Linked DNA regions of Caenorhabditis elegans. The protein of the gene in region 4 interacts with the protein of the main gene of each other region in a biochemical or structural test. Each region holds a gene or a part of one and is shown on either strand. Other genes may lie near its edges. The genes, in order: snf-6, gst-22, eat-16 and lin-7.

Evidence for each region.
Region 1: the proteins of lin-7 (region 4) and snf-6 form a complex in vitro, tested with the Caenorhabditis elegans proteins (one study listed by BioGRID).
Region 2: the proteins of lin-7 (region 4) and gst-22 form a complex in vitro, tested with the Caenorhabditis elegans proteins (one study listed by BioGRID).
Region 3: the proteins of lin-7 (region 4) and eat-16 form a complex in vitro, tested with the Caenorhabditis elegans proteins (one study listed by BioGRID).

What each region holds. Positions count from the first base shown.
Region 1 is NC_003281.10:1,529,680-1,535,145, forward strand, and holds the start of snf-6 (Sodium-dependent acetylcholine transporter), read right to left. Parts: upstream 3,149-5,466; 5' UTR 3,090-3,148; coding exon 2,991-3,089; intron 2,607-2,990; coding exon 2,513-2,606; intron 2,153-2,512; coding exon 2,093-2,152; intron 316-2,092; coding exon 140-315; intron 1-139. Other genes in the region: mtg-1 (CP-type G domain-containing protein), read left to right, coding at 4,214-4,262, 4,322-4,443, 4,624-4,745, 5,143-5,220. UniProt on the Caenorhabditis elegans protein: Mediates sodium-dependent uptake of acetylcholine at neuromuscular junctions during periods of increased synaptic activity, may also prevent spillover to adjacent synaptic sites.
Region 2 is NC_003283.11:16,230,023-16,233,986, forward strand, and holds gst-22 (glutathione transferase), read right to left. Parts: upstream 2,261-3,964; 5' UTR 2,250-2,260; coding exon 2,090-2,249; intron 1,563-2,089; coding exon 1,066-1,562; 3' UTR 1,010-1,065; downstream 1-1,009. Other genes in the region: F21H7.12 (uncharacterized protein), read left to right, coding at 186-541, 766-976; F21H7.3 (Serpentine Receptor, class E (Epsilon)), read right to left, coding at 2,673-2,886, 2,935-3,233; clec-233 (C-type lectin domain-containing protein), read left to right, coding at 3,902-3,964.
Region 3 is NC_003279.8:9,720,547-9,727,079, reverse strand, and holds eat-16 (Regulator of G-protein signaling 7), read right to left. Parts: upstream 4,360-6,533; 5' UTR 4,277-4,359; coding exon 4,256-4,276; intron 4,206-4,255; coding exon 4,086-4,205; intron 3,976-4,085; coding exon 3,892-3,975; intron 3,828-3,891; coding exon 3,734-3,827; intron 3,690-3,733; coding exon 3,611-3,689; intron 3,234-3,610; coding exon 2,937-3,233; intron 2,800-2,936; coding exon 2,686-2,799; intron 2,639-2,685; coding exon 2,128-2,638; intron 2,114-2,127; coding exon of another isoform or gene 2,100-2,113; exon of another isoform or gene 2,082-2,099; coding exon 1,996-2,081; intron 1,679-1,995; coding exon 1,663-1,678; 3' UTR 796-1,662; downstream 1-795. Other genes in the region: ocrl-1 (Rho-GAP domain-containing protein), read left to right, coding at 6,235-6,329, 6,380-6,508.
Region 4 is NC_003280.10:14,345,303-14,351,129, forward strand, and holds lin-7 (Protein lin-7 homolog), read right to left. Parts: upstream 3,491-5,827; coding exon 3,290-3,490; intron 2,772-3,289; coding exon 2,614-2,771; intron 2,555-2,613; coding exon 2,479-2,554; intron 2,055-2,478; coding exon 1,860-2,054; 3' UTR 542-1,859; downstream 1-541. Other genes in the region: Y54G11A.9 (Core domain-containing protein), read right to left, coding at 310-423; Y54G11A.17 (L51_S25_CI-B8 domain-containing protein), read right to left, coding at 3,684-3,893, 3,940-4,104; elof-1 (Transcription elongation factor 1 homolog), read left to right, coding at 4,875-4,990, 5,040-5,178; agl-1 (Glycogen debranching enzyme), read right to left, coding at 5,575-5,827.

The DNA.
Region 1 (5,466 bases), on a different chromosome or scaffold from region 4:
TTCAAATAAATATTTTTTTTGGCGAAAAAACATTTTTTTTTCTCTTCGAATTCAAACTTTTCACAATTTGCAGAGCTTCCGGATAATTTCCACCCAAAAAATTCAAATTTCCCACTTAAAACCCGCCAAAATTTCTCACCTTAAACAACGGAACCACCTTCCAAACACTAATCGCAGCCGACGAGGAGAACTGTCCAAGTACCATTTCCATAAAGAACATTGGTAGTGAGGCGAGGCATAACATACATAAATATGGTACAAGGAATGCTGCACCGCCATGTTGGAATACTAGAAATGGGAATTTCCAGAAACTTCCTGCAAAGGAAGAGAAAATTGTAAAAAAATTAAAAATTTTCCAAAAAAAAAAATTTCTTTTCAAGATTTTCCAGAAATTTTCGCGATTTTTCACTGGGAAATTCAAATTTTTCGTTAAAATCTTACAAAAAAAAATTCCTAATTGAAAAAATTTGAATTTCGAGGGGGGTACGGTAGCTTCGAAAGTACGCAAACACCGAATTTTGCGAAATTTCGCACAATTTGGCTGAAAAAACAGTCACCGGGGTGAAAATTTGCGGGGAATTTGAATTTTCGCATGAAAATGCTGGAAAAATATATTGAAAGTTGGAAATTTTAATTTTTTGTTGATAAAAACGTTTTTTTTTCGAACTTTCCAGGAAATTTCAGGAATTTTCACATTGAAGTTCGAATTCTCCGGTTTATTTTGCCGCTATTGGACTTTTTTCCCAAAAGCCAGTTTGAAATTTGAATTTCGAGGAGTACGGTAGCCCCAAAAGTACGCAAACACCTGCTAGGCACCGAACCTTACGACAATTAGTCCAAATTGGCTGAAAATCGGGTTACGGGGGTGAAAATTGATGGAGAAGCCGAATTTCGTAATGAAAAACTGTGAAAATCACTGGAAAAAAAAAAATGAAAAACACGAGTTTTCGGGAAAATAGAAAATTTGGGCATAGCTTCCGCATCTCCGAGTGACAAATGTGCTCTATTGTCAAATTGTTGGCAGAAATACGGTATTTATTCACATTTTCAGCCAATTTAAGGCTGAAAATGTGAATAAATACAGTTTTTATGTCATCAATACGAGTAGAAGCACATAAGTCACGAAAATATCGATTTTTAGAAGATTTTAGGGATTTAAACCGAAATTTTTGTGATTTTCCAGTTAAAAATGTTTTTATTTTCATTATTTGAACCAAAAACTCCAAAAAAAAAATCGATAAACATGGCTAGGAACCATCATTTTCAGATTGGTGGCCTAGAACCCCCGAAAGTTAGGCCATCAATCTATTTTGTTCGAAAAAAAACCAATTTAGGGTAAAAATGAGTGGAAAACTCAATTTCCAACTGAAAATTTGAAAAAAATTACTAGAAATGTGAGATTTTCGCTTTTCAAATCATTTAGACCCAATAAATGACAATTTAAACTTTTTTTTCCAAAATTTTGGTGTTGAAATTCGTTTTTAGAAGAAAAAACTATAAAAAATCAATAGAAAAGTTAATTTTTTTGGAAAAAATAAAGCAAGTGCGCTCTATTGAGAAATTACTGAAAATTCGATTTTTTCACTGATTTTGTCTGGTTTCAACGTGAAAAATGCGTTGAAAAATTGAAATTTCGAGTTTTTTTTGCAGAAAAATCGATATTTTATCCATTTTTCCACTGAAAATCCCAAAAATATCCAATGTTTCACCAAAAAAAAATCCCCCAAAACAAGAGATGTTAGAACTTTAGAACACACACACTCTCTTATCAATTTATAATCTTATCAATTTCTCGCACGTACTCATTTCGTATGGTCAGATTATTATCTGCTGATATCGTGGACTTTGGCCCCTGTTTTCGCCGAAAAATCGTAAAAATTCCGGATTTCTGGCCTAAAAATTAGGGAAAATTATTGGTTTTTTCCATGAAAAAGCAGTTAAAAATTGCTATTTTCATCAATTTGATGCGAAAAAACTTCAAAAAGCCCCCAGAAAATCAACGTTTTTACAAGAAAAACAACGACACTCCGCTAGTACACCAACGCGTGTTGTTTAGCGGTTTGGCGGGAATTCAAATTTCTCGCTTTCTTACCAACTCCCGCTGTGAAACCAATTACTGCTAGCAGATAATCCGACTTGTTACTCCAATTTCCTGAAAAAATTTTTTTTTTCACAAAAATTTTTTTTGTTGGTATTTTAGCATTTTTCAATAAAAATTTTGGTTTTTATGGATTTTTTCACACAAATTCGTGTTTTTCACGTCTCCAGCTTCAAAATGACCCCCATCATGCCCTGTTTCCGTGCAATTTGAAAAATTCGGGTCTCGCCACGCGGGGTACTGTAGCACCGGTTTCAGCTGTGTCGAAACTACAAAAGCTCAAAATCAACGTATTCTGGTCATGTTGGGGGTCATTCAAAAGCTGCTGACGTGGCGAATTCAATGAAAACAGTTTGGTGGCCGAGTTTTGGATTTGAAGGCCACCAAATCGAAAAACGTGGATTTTTGTCGCACCTCGTATCCTATTTTCGTCTCCGACACCCGTAATCTCTTCGAATGGATATTCGATGTCACCTTCTCGTGTGTAATCGGGCAATTTTGCGTCGAGCTTGAAAAATTTCAGGGTTTTTTTTGCGAAAAAATCAGTTTTTTCCCTAAAAACTCAAAATTCTCGCTGAAATCTTTAACAAAATGGCGGGAATTGGTCGTTTCCCGCCGTAGATCAAACGGAAATTTGAATTCCCGCCGACCGCGTGGAGCAAGTGCGCTCCAGCGGACTAGTGGCGGGGAATTTGATTTTATTTATTTTTTCGGCAATTTTTCAGCAAATTCAATGATTTTATTGGTTTTAGGACAAAAATTAGTGGAAATTTTCATCAAATTTTGTGGTTTTTTTGGAATTTTTCACAAAAAATCGATAATCATCCAAATTTTTCGGGAAAAACGTCAAAATTATCCGTTTTTCTCGAATTTTCCGAATTTTTCCACAAACCTGCTTAATAAACGGAGGATATAGGCTCATATCCACGTTGTTTCCGCTTGCCATGCCCCGTCCATTCCTCTGCTCCGGATCGTTGCTCGAAACCGACATTTTCGGTGTGGAAAAACTCGGTTTTTCTTGGAAAAATCGATTTTTCGTCGGTTTAAAACCTGAAAATTAGCAATTTTCACGATTTTTTGAGCTATTTAGCAAGAGATTGCGAAGAAAAATACGAATTTTAGAGTAAAAACGAAAGAGAAACGAGGCGACGCGGCGGCCCGTTGTTACACAAATTTCGGAAGCAGTTGGCTCGCCCGAATTGAAAACATACGTGAAAAGCCGGGGAAAACGAATGAAAAAGTGAGAAATTGTGGGAAAATGTGGGAAAAATTAGTTTATTTCAGGAAAAAATTGGCTATAAATCGGTTTTAATGAGTTTTTAGCTGAAAATCAATAATTTTCGGGTCAAATTTTAGATTTTTGGGGTCAAAATGCTGCAACTCACTTCCAGAATTCAATTTTAATTATAAAAATCGAAAATTTTAATGAAAAATTTACGTTTTTCACGAAAAACCGCTCTGGAAAATAAAAATGTTCCAGGTTGCCAATGCAAACGCGCTCCATTGAGAAATCGCTTGTTGGCGGGTGTTTGAAATGGAAATTCTGATGAAATAAATTAAATTGGGTTTGGAAGCATCTTTGTTGGTTGAATAAAGCATTTATTATGAAAGAAATAAGATTTAAACAAAAAAAAACCATTTTTACAGAGAAAATACCAGAAAACACCGGAAATTGTTAGTTTTTTTTTGAATTTTTCAGGAGAATACCAACATTTTAAAACTAATACCGGTGCAAACCGAAAATCCACTAGAAAAACTCTAAAAATCACGAAGACTCCAAAAATCACAGTTTTTCTTGAAATCAAGTTTTTCTCGAAAAATCTATATTTCTCTGGGGAGTAATTTGTGTAGTTTTTGGTGTCAAAATGCGGCTAAAAACATTTTCTGTTTGTTTTTCGCATTTTCAATTGTAAAAAATCCCTTAAAAATGGTGAAAATTAGGATTTTCCAAAGTTATTAAAAATTGACTCTGCAATTGCGCTCCATTGCTACGCATGAGAGAGCAGAGACGCAGAGTACGAATCATGCAATTTCAGGTTATTTTTTGATTTTTTACAGGAAAAAATTGTTTTCACAATTTTTTCTCAATTTTTTTTCAAATTCCAGTTAAAAAATATGAATTTTCGTCGATTTCTGCACACAACATATCGAATTTCCACTCCAGGTACCCGAAAACCCCATTATTTACTCAGTTTTCCGCGCGGAAATCGCAATTCTTTTCAGAATTTCGCCAACAATTCGAACTTCCCGCGCAATATGACTATCGGCAGTGGTTTCCAATGCATATGTCCGTACAATTGAAAAAAATGGAAGCGAAATTGCGATCCGTCGACTTGATAATTGAGGTTTTGCATGGAAAATGGAACTTTTACGATTTTTTTTTTGGAAAATCTGTAAAATCACCGGAAAAACGCTGAAAAACCGAAAAACTGGTGTAAAAAACTGGTGTAAGAATTTTAGTGAATTTTTCCGCCTATAAAAGTTGAAAAATCGGGAAATATTGCAAAAATCGACATTTTTTCCAGGTCCACGACGCCAGAATCCCGATTACCGGCCGAAATCAGCAGTTTTTTCGACATTTATACGCTATTCGACCGCATATTCTCGTCCTGAACAAGTGTGACTTGATAGATATGAAGAAATACAAGTGAGAACCCGGAAAAATTCGAAAAAATCCGGAAAAAACGCTTGAAAAATCAAGATTTTCAGAATTTCTCCGAAAAATTTTGGATTTTTTCGACGAAATTCGGCTTTTTCTCAACGAATTTAGTCAAAAATTGCGATTTTCCGACAAAAATCCACTTTAATCACCTAAAAATTTGAATTCCCGCCGACCGCGCAGTGCAAGTGCGCTCCAGTGGACTAGTGGCGGGAAATTCGAATTTTTGGCTATTTTAGCGCGATTTTTTGCACTTTTTTAACGATTTCTGGGTGAAATTCGACCGGATTTTTATAAAAAATGAAGAAAAATCGATTCTTTTTACCTTTTTTTCGGAAAAAACGCTGTAAAATCCGAAATTTTCTCAAAAATTCCCCATTTTCAGGCACCAAATCGAGGATTATTACTACGAGCGGGGCGTTCAAAAAGTTTTATTCACAGACTGCAAAAAACGGCTTCCAAGGTGATTTTGGAGCTGAAAAATTCAGAAAAATGCATAAAAATTCTGAAAAATGCATAAAAATTCAGAAAAATGCATAAAAATTCTGAAAAATGCATAAAAATTCAGAAAAATGCATAAAAATTCTGAAAAAATCTGAAAAAAGCATAAAAATGCATAAAAATTCAGAAAAATACATAAAAATTCAGAAAAATACATAAAAATTCAGAAAAATACATAAAAATTCAGAAAAATACATAAAAATTCAGA
Region 2 (3,964 bases), on a different chromosome or scaffold from region 4:
AAATGTAGAGTAGCGAGTAGTTAAAAGAAAAGAAAATCAAAACAAAACAGAAATGATGATGTGATAAGATCACAAGAAAACGATAATAAGGCAAATAACACAAAATTGATTTAAACTTGTTTTTTTTTTCGTTGCTATCACCTGTTTACGTACCTATGTCTCTCAATTTTTGTTAATTTCAGAATATGATTGAGCCAAATGAACATGTTTCCAAAAAAAGTGCAGTTTGTTTTCTCACTGCATCAATTATAATCTCCGCTATTATCCCATTATTTTTTATAATTATTGGAACATTTAACATATTCTCTTGTTCTTCACCAATACTCCCTCTGTGGCTGATCGGAATTGCTATTTTGATAATTATCGAGAGAGTGGTATCTTGGAGGATTTTGATAAGCGAAACTCAATTTGAAAATGAAAATCCCATTCCGAAAACTGACGACTTGAAGCAGATAAAGTCCTGGGAGAAGAGTCGAATGGAAAATACTTCGAAGTGGTTGATTCTCGGGAAGAATAACTTGAGAATTTTGATGTTTGTTGGGTAAGTTTTTGAAGCATTCAGGAACAAACTTGTGTGCCTGCCTACTCGCCTACTTAGCGCCTAAAAACATGTGATATTTTATGGTTTCGTACATTTACATTTCGCAGCGCCCGACAATATTCGGGTTCGACGCCGTACAATTTTCAAAGCGCAGTTTCAATTTGCTAAGAGCAGGCGATAGGCAGGCAAATAGGCGAGCCAAATTCTTTTGTTTTTTTTTTCAGAATAATCTGCGGCACCCTCGAAAGTTACGACAGACTCATACATTCCGACTATCAATGCAGCATAATTGTTCCAATTTCTGTTTTTGTTTTTAGCATTGTTACTTGCATTGTTTACCTATTCTCAATTGTTGGGTCAATTTATATTTGGTGTGTCTCTGGCTTGACTAAGCTTGACCGCTGGACAAAATCATCACTACATCAGGTTTTGTAAAGTGAAACGCAAATAAATATACAGAACGCAAATAAATTTTTAAAACTATTTTATTGCATCATTATTTTTTCTTTCACAAAAAAAACAATTCACACAAGCGTCACTGGTCTTGTCTCGATGTAATCTTTCAACTCGGTAAGATTAAATATTTTCTCCTGGAATTTTCTCAAAGTTAAATGAATTGGATCTTCTGGATCAAGTTCCTTGAGATTCGTCAGAGTATACAAATGATCAGCCACCACCAGATCTGCCCAAGTCAATCCATCTCCAACAAGGAAACCCGATTTGTTCTCTTTAAGAATTCGAGTCAATATTTTGAACATTAAGTTTTTTGCTGGAATGTAAACTTTGTCATGAATTTGCTTCACTTCTTCCATTGTTTTTCCAGTTTTCACGGCATCACGGTAGGGATGGAGTGACGCGTAGTACTCATTAAACTGATCAACGATAGAATCAGCAAAAGCCTCGTCTTCCGGTGTTTTTCCAGCGTAGCCAAACTTTCTAGCCAGATAACGATGAATTGCAGAAGATTGAGCAAGATCAAAACCGTCGATGGAAAGAACTGTGAATCGGCCAAATGGGGTCTCTGAAAACAATGTAATTTTTTGATTGTCTGGTTAGCAAAATTCTTTCAGCTAAAATTGTCAAATTGTCAAAAGTTATTTTTAAATTTCAAAAAGTTTCTTGAGTTTCCTGGAAGCTTCTTGAAGTCATCAAAAATTGTCTGAAGGTTCCAAAAATTTCCTCAAATTTCCAAATGTTTTTATTCCAGAATTACCATGACATCTCCTTGAAATCAAAAATTGCATGACTATCCAGAAGTTTTCAGAAAGTGTCAAGAAGTCTCATGAAATTTCAAAAATTTCTAGGAGTTTCTTGAAAACTCCATAAATATCCAGATGATTCTAAAATTATTTTAAGTTTTCAAGAAGTTTCCCGAAATGTTCAGAAAAATCGAGAAAATCACAAAAATTTATCGGTTTTTCCACAACTTTCCAAACCTTTCCTAGCAAAACTTTTTTCTGATTGAATATGAATTTTCCGCCGAAAAGTGGAAGGGCTCATGTTTCTTTAAAGGTGGACTATGCTCAGTGGGCTATTAGTTTGACTCACTGTCTTTCAACGCTGAAAATTCGTCACTTTGAAATCCCGGAACAGCATTGATCGTCGGCAGTCGAACATCCTCATATGGTACCCCACCAAGATGGAATAACATTCGTGCTGACTCTCCAAACCCACAAGCATCAAAGTAAGTCAGTTTGTAAGAGGGCATATTTTATTTGTGAAGTTAGTTGAATCAATAAAGAATTTATACCTTTACCAACCTTTATCGATGACTCTTATCGCGATTGCAACTTTTCCCCTTATCGCAAAAAACTGCAGAGACAGTTCAAAATGTGGAGGTATTATGTGAATATTAAGAAATCATTGCATGATTCATACCTCTATTAAATGAAATCATGATTTTATTATATTTTATTGGTTTACATATGAAGACTGTACTAATGGGTGATACTGTCTGTACGATCTTCAGAAATTTTTTTATGGATTTTTAGCAGAAAACGAGAGCTGTGATTGAACAAAAAAAACTATTCCTTTTGTTTTTGTTAAAAATTAAGTGTTATTTTTAATTGCTTGTAAAAACAATGTCATGTCGGCAAAACAGATGCATTTTCAAATTATACAATATGTTAAATTATAGAATATAACTATACAACCACATTGTAACTTTTCTATCAAACTTTGCTTTACAATTCATGCAAAATATATAAATAGTCCCTATCAAGGAGACTATATAAGTTATGGAAGCAATAATACAAAATCCGGAAACCGAGAAAAGAACAGAAGATTTGCATAAATAAATCGGTCGGCCGAGTTGTTCATAGCTCCAAATAGCTCCAAGGGCAACCCTGAAACTTTTCTAGTTTTTAGACATTTGTAAATTTGAAATCAATTACGCTATTAACATGACTCCTTCCAACGCATATTTTATTGATATCCACCAAAAATTTTCGAACCAGTTTTTCTTTCTTCCATCTTGCGGAACATCCTCCATGAGTTTCTTCACTTTATTGAATAGAATTTTCCAATAAATAATTCTATCAATAATAATTAAAATACCAACAAAAATAAGCCATAATGGAAGAAGCGGGTTCTCACATTTTCCTTGGTTTTTAAAGCCGATTGATAGGAACCATATTGGAATAATAAGGAAGAATAAGTTCAAAATTACCAAGTAACAAATATGGTGTGTCATGGTCGAAGAGAAAAGTTGAAAATAGGTTGAATTAGTTGTGTCAAATTGTTATCAAATAGAGTGGTATCAATCACTTCCTCAGTCCCTGTGTTCGCGGAACTTTTGAATGAGTGAGAAAGAGAGAGAGAGAAAAGAAGAGAAACCAAATTTTAGTCACAGATTACACTAAAGTAAGAGATGAATAATGTATGTTAAGTGTACTGGCATTGACCTACGGGATTAAACTATCAGGATTTGTAACTTATTCTAACCCATGTCAATGTTCTGAGACTTACATATCTGCCCGCGCTTTCTTCATTTCGAGTCACCAACATCCTATATACCGTGAGAAATACATTCAATATAGTTCAAATGTGAATACAACACTCCAAGAGTTAACATTTTGTTTTAAAGTATTAACTGTTTTACCTTTCTCCTTCGGCACAAAAATCCTGTGAAATCTGGAGACAGCTCAGAAGAACATCGACATAGAAAAAGGCTCTAAGACCCCCGCTCTAGTGAAAGTAGATGGCTTGAGTTCAAGAGACCTAATGGTTTTAAACTGTAATTAATTTTCTTCTTCAAGTTCACTGCAAAATTATTTTGAAAAACATTTTAATTGTAAGATGCAAACTAAACTCAAATATGTTAACCACAATTTTCTGTTTTTTTACAATCCCGGTTTGGTGATGCCGTTTTATTATATTTTTTATTACCAACCGCCTGTTTCCTACAAAAAGCAAGAGTTTCTG
Region 3 (6,533 bases), on a different chromosome or scaffold from region 4:
TGTATTCTTGGAATAAGGATAAGAAAGTGCCAAGTTTGAATAGAAACAAAACAAAACACTTTTGAATTGACTCATTTGACTGAGAGTTGCAAGATATTTGATGCTTAGACTGTAAATAATTGCATTAAAAACAATAGGAAGCTAGTGCATAGGTGAATCGCTAATATCCCCAGGATATTTTTTTATTCAACTATTCCGTGACTCCAATTTAGTATAAAGCTTTCAGGCTGAAGGCATTTTCACCTGCTGTGTGATTATTCTTACCAGTTTAAAACTTGAAATTATAGTACCAAAAAAATGGTGTCTGTTTTTTGATTTTTCCGGGGAAAAGGTTCAATTTAAAAAAAAAGAAATTATTTATATTTTTTCTCTTCGAAAAATCAACATAATTTTGATAAATCAATAGTTTTCCCCGGGTCCCCGGGTTTTCGTTGTGAATTTTTAATACATATTGGATTTTCTGTAAATTGGAAGATTAGATATATCCAGACAATTTTATTAATGGAAGTGAACTAAAACCTTTTCCCACTGTTTGATTTTGGGTGATCCGTTGCGGAATCCGTTCGTGCTCATAATCGGTATTCTGTAAATTTATTCAAAATCTCTATTGTTCCAAAAATTTCCCGTGTCGTAGCACATTTTGGTTGTTTTTTCCCGCAAAATTTTCATCTTCAGACATCTATGTAATATAAGAAATTTTTATTCTTCAAAAAACCCTTTCCTTGTGTTTCTTATTCCCAGAGTTCCCCATAGTTTCGAATATATATTAAGGTGTAACACAGACATAAAAATAAGAATAAATAATTTTATTGAACATCAACGCCTACAAAAAGCTGAAAATAATGATATACTGACACATTAATAATATATTATGTAACAACTCCGGTTCTGAAAGTTGATTTTTTTGAGACAATCACACCAGGTAGAGGGTAAGAGAAAATGAAATTTATATATGATTTTTGGAAAAAAAAAGAACTGAGACGTTATGATATCGTCATTTTTGGTGCGAATTACCATTTTCAAATCAAATTATTTTTGAGTAGATATAATTGAAAAAAGTTAGGTTGAAACACCTAAATACGCTAGCGGTACCTTACAGATACTTTTAAAATTTTGAAAAAAAAACGAGAAGTGTGCCAAAAAAGCAGGAGAACTCTGTGTGAAATGAATGAGGGAAACAAAAATTGATTTTCTGAAAAGATTAAAATAATATGGGTAATAGAAAGAAATATAACACTTTGTACACGTTTTTGTGAGAAAATAGGATTACAAATTAGTATATCGTGAAAATGAAGAAGAAGCTGGCAGGAGATGTGGATTATGATGGACTAGAAGAGTCTGAAGAGACTGTGGAATTACATGTATTATCGATCGATTTGGAAGAGAAAATAAGGTCAAAATATGCAGTGTTGGGTGGTTCGAGATTGTTAATTTTGAGAAGAAGTTCATTGATAATACACATATCAAATGGTTCGCTTCGAAATATTTAAATTTGCGTGTAAAACCGATGCAGAGGATACTGATTTCCCTTTTTGATGGTCGTTATTTGATTTGGTTTTTTTTTTGAGAAAGAAGAGGGAAAAGTGAAAAAGAATATACAGAGAGACGCAGACACGTACGTACACGCAGAAAAGAGAAACGAGATGTGAGAAGAGAATGACGTCATTCGGGATCCGGTCTGCAAAATAAAGAAATGAGCTGAAGAGAGTAGGTCATGAGTTTAGCTTTGATGGATTTGAGTCATTAGTCTTTGGCCAAAAAATCTCATGGCAACTGCCAAGACAGGAGATTTAAGCACCAACAGGTTACAGAAAAAATGATTGGGAATACTAACTCAAAAAAAACTAGCCGATATTTAAAGGTGTATATCGCCAGTTTATCCTATTTGAACAAAAGCTTAACTAATATATAAATTTAACAGTTTTGGAGTTAATTGTTCGTGTGGTAGGATTGTCCCATTTTAATAGATTTTTCTGACATATTTCCACAACTTACTTGACCCCATGAGCCTGTCGAACTGGCAGCGAGTCGGACGATAGCTGTTTTGGGAGAACTTGACCAGTCCCGATGGAATCTTGCGGCTGAAGATATCAAAGTTTTCATACATAATTTCCTGGAAAATCTTGCCTTTGCTGGTTTACTCGTTGCTGGTTTTTTAGTTGTACCCATGTTGAATACGAAGTTGCGCCACCCGAGTCGCTTTGTTCCGTGCTGTTGCGCTGCTGTCAATACTGCTTTGTAGATTTGGGATCGGACGAAACGTGGATATGAATCCTTTGCCATCAATGTGAACACGTGCTCTTCAGAATGATAGAATGCGAATCTCATTTGTGAAGCATCTTTCGCTTTCGAAATACACTCCAATGTCTGATCGAGGGTTCTATTGTCTACATTTACTTGTGCAGGTGCTCCTTGAGCCAAAAATTCTTCTCGTATTCTTTCAGCTTTCTGGTATATCTGCTCATTCGGTGCATATTTCAAATCTTGTATCGCTATCCAGAACCGTATATTTTCCGACGAAAATTCGGATTCTAAAAATGTTTCGAGCACTTGCCGTCCTATAGGATCTTTCACAAGCTCTTGAACAGAAAGTCCCCATCGTTTTACCCGTTTCTCGGTAGGGATCTCGGCACTTGACCTGAAAAAGTATTTGCAATAAAGATTAAAGATTAAATAATAATTTACGTGTCAGTAGGCTGATTCCAAAATGAAGCTTCATCACTGATCCATGGATTGGATGGTTGTGGAGGGTGAAGGAATGGATCGAATTCAGCTCTTTGGTCAACCCACGTCACCATTCTGAAACACGAATTATTTAATTGAATCTATTGTCTTTTGATATCTGATCCATTATCAGTTCGAAATTCAATCTTAATAATACATATTTTGATTCGATTCAGCTAGGAAAAGTTTACAATTGGATTGAATATACTCACGTATCCGATGCTTTTAATGCTTTTAGCCATGGCTTTGTCTTGATTGCAAATCGTAATCGATCCATAAGACATCTATAACCTTGTGCATTCTGCCGTCGTATTTTCTTTTCTATTTTCATATAAGGGTCCTCTAGGAAATTTGGTCCACCACGACTTGGTTTTCGTATCTTCCAAAACGCTCGTTCTTCTGAATCGAACACTACCTTGTCCACTTTCTTTTTTTCTTTTTGCTGCTTCAATTGAAGCTCAGACTGTTGAACGATGAAAGCCCACATGTGTGCGAGAACATCGGCAAGTCTGAAAATTTATTTTTGAATGCCATATGTATTGAAAATTCAAAATACTTTTCTATCACCAGAGATAACTTTCAGATTTCGAGAAAGATAACTCAATAATCTAAAAAAAATTAAATTATTATTTCGATTTTTCATTCTGCAGCGATGCACGTTCAAAAAATTAAAAACCCAATTTTTAAAAGGTTAAAAATAATAGCTTTCGACTCCAAAACTGAAATCATAAAAATGCCAAAACTAATCTCTGTACACTTTGACATTTTTCGTGATCTCAGTAAGATTTCTTGGCGAAGCTTTACCAATTTATTTCTAAGTCGTGAGGATTGTTCAATATTTTCTGACTAAATAATTTTTCCTAATGTCCGAAATAATGTCCCATACCTGTTGAATGACTCAACTTCATCTTCTTCTAACCCGTGTTTTTGCTCATTTCGGAGCAATCGCTTGTTGAGGTAAATGGCTGAAATATAGTGGATCAGATACAATAACTTTTCTTGGAATTACCATATTCAACATCCGGAACCAGTTCAGCCTGTGAAGGCCAAAAATACGGCCTTTGAAGCCTGTATAACGTTCCATCGTCTTTGAAAGGTTGGCCCTGAATTAATTTTTAATTTAAAATACTTAAGTTAAACACTGAAAAACTGCAGTCTTTAACTTACATGTTCGATAACTGGAAACATGTAACCGTGGTGAAGTAACAAACTTGCCAGATGACTCGCTTCAGCCTCATCGTCAGGAGCACCCTGTTAAAAATTAAAAATTTATTTTCATAATTTTTGTGATTTTCTTGTCAGAAGCTTTATAAGTTTTCAAATAAGTGCTCCTGCTGTATTTGAGAGGAAAGTAAACTCACTCGCTCAAGAACGAGAGCTATCAATTGCTGACCGGTGATGGCATGAGGCACGGCGATCCGGAAGTATTTATGCGTTTTCAATTGCGCACCTTCCATCACTCGCTTCGCGAGCACCTCGATCTAAAATTTTCAAAAGAAATTTTAAGAAAATTGAACTTCAAATGAAATACCTTGGTCAACGGTGGCATCATACAAAATGCGGGGTTTGAGAGCAGCGTGTCTCAATCAGCTCGACAGCTTTTGATATTTTTGAATTAAATATTAGAATAATAATCTGCAAATTGAATATTTGAGAACTGTATCATACGGTTGCAGATCAGTAAACGATGATGGAGATGATAGGAATGAAAAATAATAAAATAGTAAGGCCAAAATGCTTAGATCTCTAGTTCTCTGACTCTCTCGTTCTCTATTTCTTTCTTCTCCGGGGATGGGGGACTGCTGTGGTGCGTGGTGGGCGGAGAGGGGGGCGAGGGGGTGCTTATGTGTGTATATGTGAGCGGGTGAGGAGAGTGAGGGTTTGTGCGCGTGTGTGTGTGAGTGTGGATTTTGAGTGAGAATGTGAGACATACGACGAAGCTGTCTTCCTGAATTCAAACGCAGACAGGCAAAGTCAATAGCGCAGGCGACGAGAGCGGCGCCTTCCCTTCTCTGCCTAGTCGCCGGGTCCCCTACAGCCCAATGATTTCCAATAATCGAGCAGTCTAACGTCTCTCACTCTCTCAATTACTCTGTGGCTCCGAGAGGGCTTCGAGAGCCCTCTATGTGTGTGCATGTGTGTGTCAGAGATGCGTGAGTGAGTGTGTGCGTGTGCTGCTACTGCTGCTGCTTCTCCTTCTTTTCACTTCACGGATCGATCTCGTCGTCTCGAGTTGTCACAATCAGCAGTAGAAGCAGTATTCCAGGCTTCTTCTCATTCTTCTGCGTCTCTTGTGTCCACTTCTTTCCCCTTTTATTCAATTTCGATGTGCTACGGCTTCGAAGACGACGACAGCGACAACGAGCTTCTTCTTCTTTTCCCTTTAACATCTCAGTCTCTTCAACATGTATATGGTGTGTGTTGCTTTTTGGTAGTGGTGGTAGGCGAAGGATACTACTACTTTCTACTCTTCCCCTCATCTAGCTTTTTTTTTGGAGAAAAAATGTCAAAAAAGTGAAAAACGGGTTGATTGTTTCGTATTTCAACTATTGCGAACATTGTCAACGATCTTTGATTCTGATTTTAATATTCGTTCAGGGCATTGAAAATTGATTACACAATAGTTTCAGTAATCTTTTGGGATATTTGACTGCTCGGTTTTCTTCTGCAAATGGATCAACATTCTTCCGTCGATTGCTGATTCTCTTTGAAATTTTCAGTACTTAAAAAAAATTTGGGAAAATCTCAAATCCGCTTAAAATCCGCTTAAAATCTGCTAAAAATTTTGAGAAATCTGTACAGAATTTAGGCATCACAGCAGGATCTACCGGTTTTCGACGTTGATTAGAAAATAAATAGAAAGTTCAATAGAATTTCCAAAATATAATTTGGGTTGTCAAATCAAAAAAAAAAAGAAAGTAATTGCGGAATAAATAAAATAATAAATTTATTGGTTTTATTAATCAGAGTTTTATGTTCCAGATTCAGAACAAATCGTCATAATAAAGAGTGATAAATTAACACATTCGTTTGTGGTTCTTCCTGTTTCAATCAATACTGATTTTCAATTTTCCGATGGGAAATTCATGCGAATCGACCTCCGATCATCTTTTCGCTCGCAGAGTTATCATCTTTCATTTCCAATAGAAAAAGACGGAGAAACTTGAATATAAACAACCCATAAACTGTGTATTATATTGCTGGGAAAACTGAATAGGTTCGAAATGTGTTGATGGATACGGTGTTCAATTCGGTGTTTGCACACTAAAGAGAGATAGAGAGAACTGGCAATAGGAGAGTGACGAGACAACTAGACGGTCACATCGTATTTGTTCATCACGTTTTACTTTTTTCCTGATTTTACTACCATTTAGCTTGGCTCTGTAGTTTTCTTATCGTTAAAGATAGTTTTTTTTGAAATAAAAATGCCAATTTTGGTTTTATTTCAGAGAAAATCGGAAGAGAAGCGTCGTCAAAGACGTAAAACGTCTCTTTCGAAACAAAGTGACGATGGCGACGACGACGTTTTACACGAAACAACGATGTAATTGGATAGAAGGAAGAGATGCAAAAGTTGATGAAGTTATGAGAGAATGGATGCATAAGTAAACTATTCTGAAAATCTTAAACTAATATTTTAATTACCTTTTTACAGATTCTGCACCTTTCAAGATGTCAAAATTTGTGTTTCAACATTTAATGTGAATGGAAGAAGCCCATTGTCAGTTTTCCCCACATGGTTTTCTCAAAAACCCGAGGATATCGCAGAATTTTATGCTGTTGGGTGAGTTTTACATGCTTGTTTATGA
Region 4 (5,827 bases):
AAGAATTAATTTTTTAAATTAAGGTTTTTTTCTAGTCATTGAAAAAAATTGAATTTTCGAACAATATTCACAAAATTTTTTAACTTTCTTTTTTGAAAATCGGGGTTTCTCTGAAAAGCACTACAAATCAAAAGTATACAATTTTTTTGTAAAAAAAACACCGGAAATTAAATGCTTTGAAAAACTTTGAAAAATAGGAAAGTGCCGATTTTTTTCCGAAAAAAAAAACTGGAAAATCGAAATTTCTCGTTTTTCCATTTACAATATTTCTAATTTTCAAAAAAATTGGGCGCCCAAGGACAGACTAACTTTAAGCCTGCTCGCTGCCTTATTCGTCACTTTAATCTCTTGCTCGGTGAGCATCCGATGAGCCTGTCGGGTTACTGTACAAGCCATTAGTCTGCCGATTTTTTGTGTGAGCATTTCGAGAAAATTCTGAAAAAAAAATCTGAAAAAAGTTGAATTTTACATCAAAAAGATAGATTTTCGTGATTTTTGAAACATGGAAAATATTTTTTTAAAAATGCCGAAAAATGAAAAAAAATTATTTTAAAAATTTAGTTATTAAAGATACATGGAGAAAAGCACCTATTTGAAAGAACGTAAGGCAAAGCAAGATTATTAAAGCAATTTTTGGGCAATAATTTGGGGAGAGGGTGAGTGTTGAGATTAACATTGTTTTGGAAATTTGTCTGAAAACGGAAAAAGAGATAATAATGTACATATAGGGATATCTAAAAATCTAGAACAAAGAATAGAAGAGAAGAAGTTAGAAATGAGTATACATGAACTGGAAAAAAATAGAAAAAATAGGGATTTTATGGTGGAAAATGCAAACTTTTCAGCGAAAATTTCAGTTTCAAGAAAAGATCTTTCAATATTGCTACAAAAGTTCTATTTTCTCGGCTAAACTAATCAATGTTTGCAGAAAAATGCGAACTCTTGCAGTAAAACATTGAGGCCACACGAAAAGGGGAGCAGAACGAAAAGGGGATCTGCAAAAAGGGGATCTGCGAAAAGGGGAGATACGAAAAGGGGAGCAACGAAAAGGGGATCTGGCACTGTGCCAAGCGCTATTTTTCTCGAAGAAAACGATACAACGATGCTCCGATGTTACGCGTCGCGTGTTGTTAAGCGTATCTTCTAGAAGAAAATTTCAAAAATCAACGTGCGTTGCGTGAGAAAAATTGCGTTTTGTGCGTTTGGCACAGTGCCAGCTCCCCTTTTCGTTGCTCCCCTTTTCGTATCTCCCCTTTTCGCAGATCCCCTTTTTGCAGATCCCCTTTTTGCAGATCCCCTTTTCGTTTTGCTCCCCTTTTCGTGGGGCCTCAAAACATTTTGATGCAAAAATTTTAGAAATATTGTTTTAATGTCCATTATCTATATTACGGGAGCACATGAATGCGTATTGCACAACATAATTGACGCGCAAAATATCTCGAAGAGAAAACCACAGTAATTTTATAAAGTACTACTGTAGCGCTGGTGTCGATTTACGGACATCATTTGAAAACATAAAAAAGACAACAAAAAAAAAAACGAAAAACCAATTCGAACACAAATTTGTATAAAAAATAAAAATATATTTTTTTGTTTGTTTTTTTGTTGTCTTTTTTTTGTGTTTTCTTTCGATATTTCATCGATTAATAAATGATGTCCGTAAATCGAAACAAGCGCTACAGTAATATTTTAAAGAGTTACTGTAGTTTTCGCTACGAGATATTTTGCGCGTCAATTATGTTGCGCAGTACGCATTCTCGAAATTTAGTGTTCCCGTAACATTTAGTTTTGTTGTGGCTTTTTTCGTATTTTTTCCAAAAATTCTCGAATTCTTGATTTCTACAAATGTTCCGTCTTTTTTATCTTCGTGGATTTGTCGAAGAAGACGGCGTCGGGAGTGTTGGACTCTGCTGAGTGGATCGAATTCTCTGTCTTTCGAATCTCCGCTCCATTTCATCCAGGAGTTTCGGCATATAACGGATCACTAGCTTTACACTTCCGACTGCGGATTTCAGAAGATCAACTGCTTTTTCGTGGCATTCGGCTTCCACGTTCTGAAATTTTTTTAAAGTTATTTTTTTGAATCAAAGTTTTTTTTCTAATTCGAGTTATATTCTTCTACTAATTAAAAGTGTAGTTGTTTTCAATTTTAAAAAATGAGAATAAATTGTTCATTTTTTCGAAAAAAAATATTAAGAAAAATTTATAATGTTCTTTTATATGGAAATCTTCGTAAACCGAAAAATTCTGTCTTTTATTACTGGTTCCTTTACTTTTTTCCGGTTTATTTTCTGAAAAACACTAAAAATCTGAAATCTTCGATAAAAAAACACTTAAATTAAAGTAAGTTTCGTTTTTTGCTTAAAAAAATGAATTTTTAGATTTTTTTTTCATTGAAAAACATTGAAAAATCAATATTTTTCGATGTTTTTTTTCCGAAAAAAACTAAAAAAAAATTGAATTAAACATTTAACCCACCACTCCGTTGACCGCAATAAGTTGATCGCCTCGTTTGAGACCTCCGTGTCTGTCGGCTACGCCACCAGGGATTATTCTGCAATTCAAATCGTTTTTTTTAAATTATAAAATCATTAAATATTTTTATATCTGCACCTGGAGATGTAAATCGGTGAATTTTGCTCCTTGCCGCCCATAACATTGAATCCAAGCCCTTGATCGGTTTTTGGGAGCTCAACGATACGTGGATGCGCGTGGCCTTCGGCTGCAGCAAACGCCGCCACTGTTGCTTTAGCTGTTGCGGCGGCTTTTATCTGAAAAATGTTTAGTGTTTTTTTTTGTTTTCTGTTGTTCAAAAACGGCTCAAAATTATTTCGAAAAATAAAAAAACTACAATTTGAAATTTCGACAACTTTTAATTATCAAGGTTGGCGGCAATTGTCGCTCGGCTTTTTTTTTGCCAAATTCGGCAAATTGCCGATTTGCCATAATTTGCATTTCCGGCAATTTGCCGATTTGCCGAAAATTTTGATTTTCGCCGAACTACCGATTTTCCGGAATTTTTTGTAGGGATTTTCATTATACGGAAACACTTAAAACTGTGCCTTTTTGAATTTTTTAAAATTTAAATTTTGAAAATTCCAAAAAAAATGTGCAAAACCACAATTTGCAGATATGGCGGAAGTATTAATTCGGACAGTTTGCCAATTTGCCGGAATTATCAATTCCGACAATAAGCCGATTTTCCAGGAATTTGAATTCCGGCAATATGCCGATTTGCCGGAAATTTCAATTCCGGCATTTTTGTCAGTTTTATCAAAAAAAACTGAACCTCTGGCGTTGTATCCGCATCAATTGATTCATAAACAGTCTCATAGACCTCTCGGACGGCACCGAAAAATTCGGATTGTAGCACCTGCTGCAGCGATGCCAATTTTGCATTATTGACCTCTCCAGTCTTCTGAACGTGCTCCATGAGCTCTAGAATACGCTGAACGTCCCGCTCCAAATTCGGACCATCCGGGTTATCCATCTGGAAGATTTGGTTGGAAAGGAGGGGAAAAATAGGACGGAAATAGGTAAAAATGGCAAGAAAACCAATTAAAAATTACAAAATTAAGCTATCCAGAGCGGAAAAACATTATTTACTATTCTAATTGACCATAGCCCGTCAGAAAATTATTAAACACAACAAAACCAAAAAAAAAATCGACAAAAAATTAAATTTAAATTTCATGTCGCAGCGTGTGCTTCTGAGACAATTCCAGCGGAATCACATTGAACGTCATTTTGTACAAATCCACGTCTTTCCTATACTCGTATCCCTTCATCTCCTCAATTTCATAGTCCGGATCGCATTTTTCCTGGGAGATACGAACGATTCCGTCGCAATGGGCACGCAGAAGACGTTCTCCGCGATCGTTTTCATAGTAAACCTGAATAACTTCTCAATAATCAAAGATATTTGATAATAAATCTTACATTTAACCCTGGATGATAATTCATTTTGAATTGATTCACCAGCAAATCGTCTTTTCGCACAACTTCTCCGTCTTTCCGGAAAATTCCACGGAACGGGAGATTCTTTGGTGGTCGTAGAAGTCCGCGAATTTGTTGAAAACTACCGGTGAATCCCTTGAGGCCCATCTGAATATTTAAATTTGAATTTAGATAATTTTAATTGTTAAATTATAATTTTGAGTTGCATTGCATCACTAGAAAGATATTTTATTGAAAATTAACGTTTTTCAGCATTATTTAATGCTTTTTAACGATTTAAACAATTTTCTCATTTAATTTATTGATAAAATATTGAGAAATGTTTAATTTTAAGCATAAAATGAATAAATCCTGCTCCGGAAAGTCCGATAAATGCTTAATTGTTTTGGAGACTACGGTCAACATTTTTTGTACGCAGTACGCAACGTGTACTGCAGACCGTAGTCGAGAAAACCTGCGCATCTAACTGTCTTCCTCGCGCCAATTTTGTTTCGAAATTTCTTTTTTGGCTGTTTTTCGTGTTACTTTTTGCCGGATTTTTGCCGTTTTTATATGATAGAAATATTATGTTTTGTGTCAAAATAGGTAAATTTTCCATATAAAACCTGATGATTCAAAAAATTTTGTGAATTTGAAGTCCAAAAATGTGGAATTTCAAGCCGACACTCACGAAAAATTTTCACATTGTGCATACGTTATAGTTTTTAGAATACAGAAAAAAACAATATAGTATTTCTGAGTGTCGCATTTTTGAGTGGTTTGTATATTAGTATATTTTCTTGCAATTTAAATGTAATTTTCGAACTTTTTTTTCGAGATTGGAACATATTTTTACCTTCTGCAAAAATATTCTGTTCTTTTTACGTTTCCCGAACTTAATAATTGTTTTTCAGAACCAATCCAAACAATCCGCAGCAATGGGAAAGCGAAAGTCGAAGAGAAAGGCTCCAACCAAGGCAAAGGCTGTAATGCCACTCGACACCCAATTCAACTGTCCGTTTTGCAATCATGAACGCGTTTGTGAAGTGAAAATGTACTTTCTAAGGAAAATCGTTTCAAAAAAAAACGTAATAATTTTCCAGGGATCGCGAAAAGAATGTCGGTTATATCTCGTGTCGTGTCTGCTCTGAAGACTTCCAAACAAACATCAACTACCTCTCCGAGCCAATCGACGTCTATTCTGATTGGGTGGATGCCTGTGAGCAGGCAAATAACGCCTGAATATTCCCCATCCGTCAATCTTAAATTCTTATACGACCTCCTTATAAGCCTCCAAAATCCCCATCGCGTTGATCTCTTTGCTTTTCTCAGTAATTCTATTTCCTTCTATCCCCAATTCATCCACACACTTTCTGGATCATCATTGCAGCACGCCTCGAAAACCGGTCCTTCAATTCTCACGAGAATGGTATCCTCGAGCTCGTTTTTGTGTGTAAATAACCAAATCAGCACATCACCATTTTTTGTACAATACTTTATTTTTCATCATTTTGTTTCAAATTTCTTTGGCTCAAAGCTATATAAAAAGTTGAACTTAAAAATCAAAAATGGTAAGTTAGCTAGAAATGCAACAAGGAAATACATGCAATATTCTGAATTCTAAAAAAAAGGAAAATATCATCCCTCGATAGTATTAAGTTTTACACATGCTTCAATCAGGCAACCGACGGACCACGCCTGGGCAGCACAACTCTGCATACAGTATTCTCCATCAGCATTTGTCAGTTCCGGTAGTGACCTCCATGGTGATGAAATGATGTGCTTGTAAGCATTGCCGAGTCGCTCCTGGACTTGCCGGATCGCATACTGCTTTTCGGATCCTCCGAGGATATCACCGATTCTCAGCCGAGCTTGGAGATAATACCCGGCG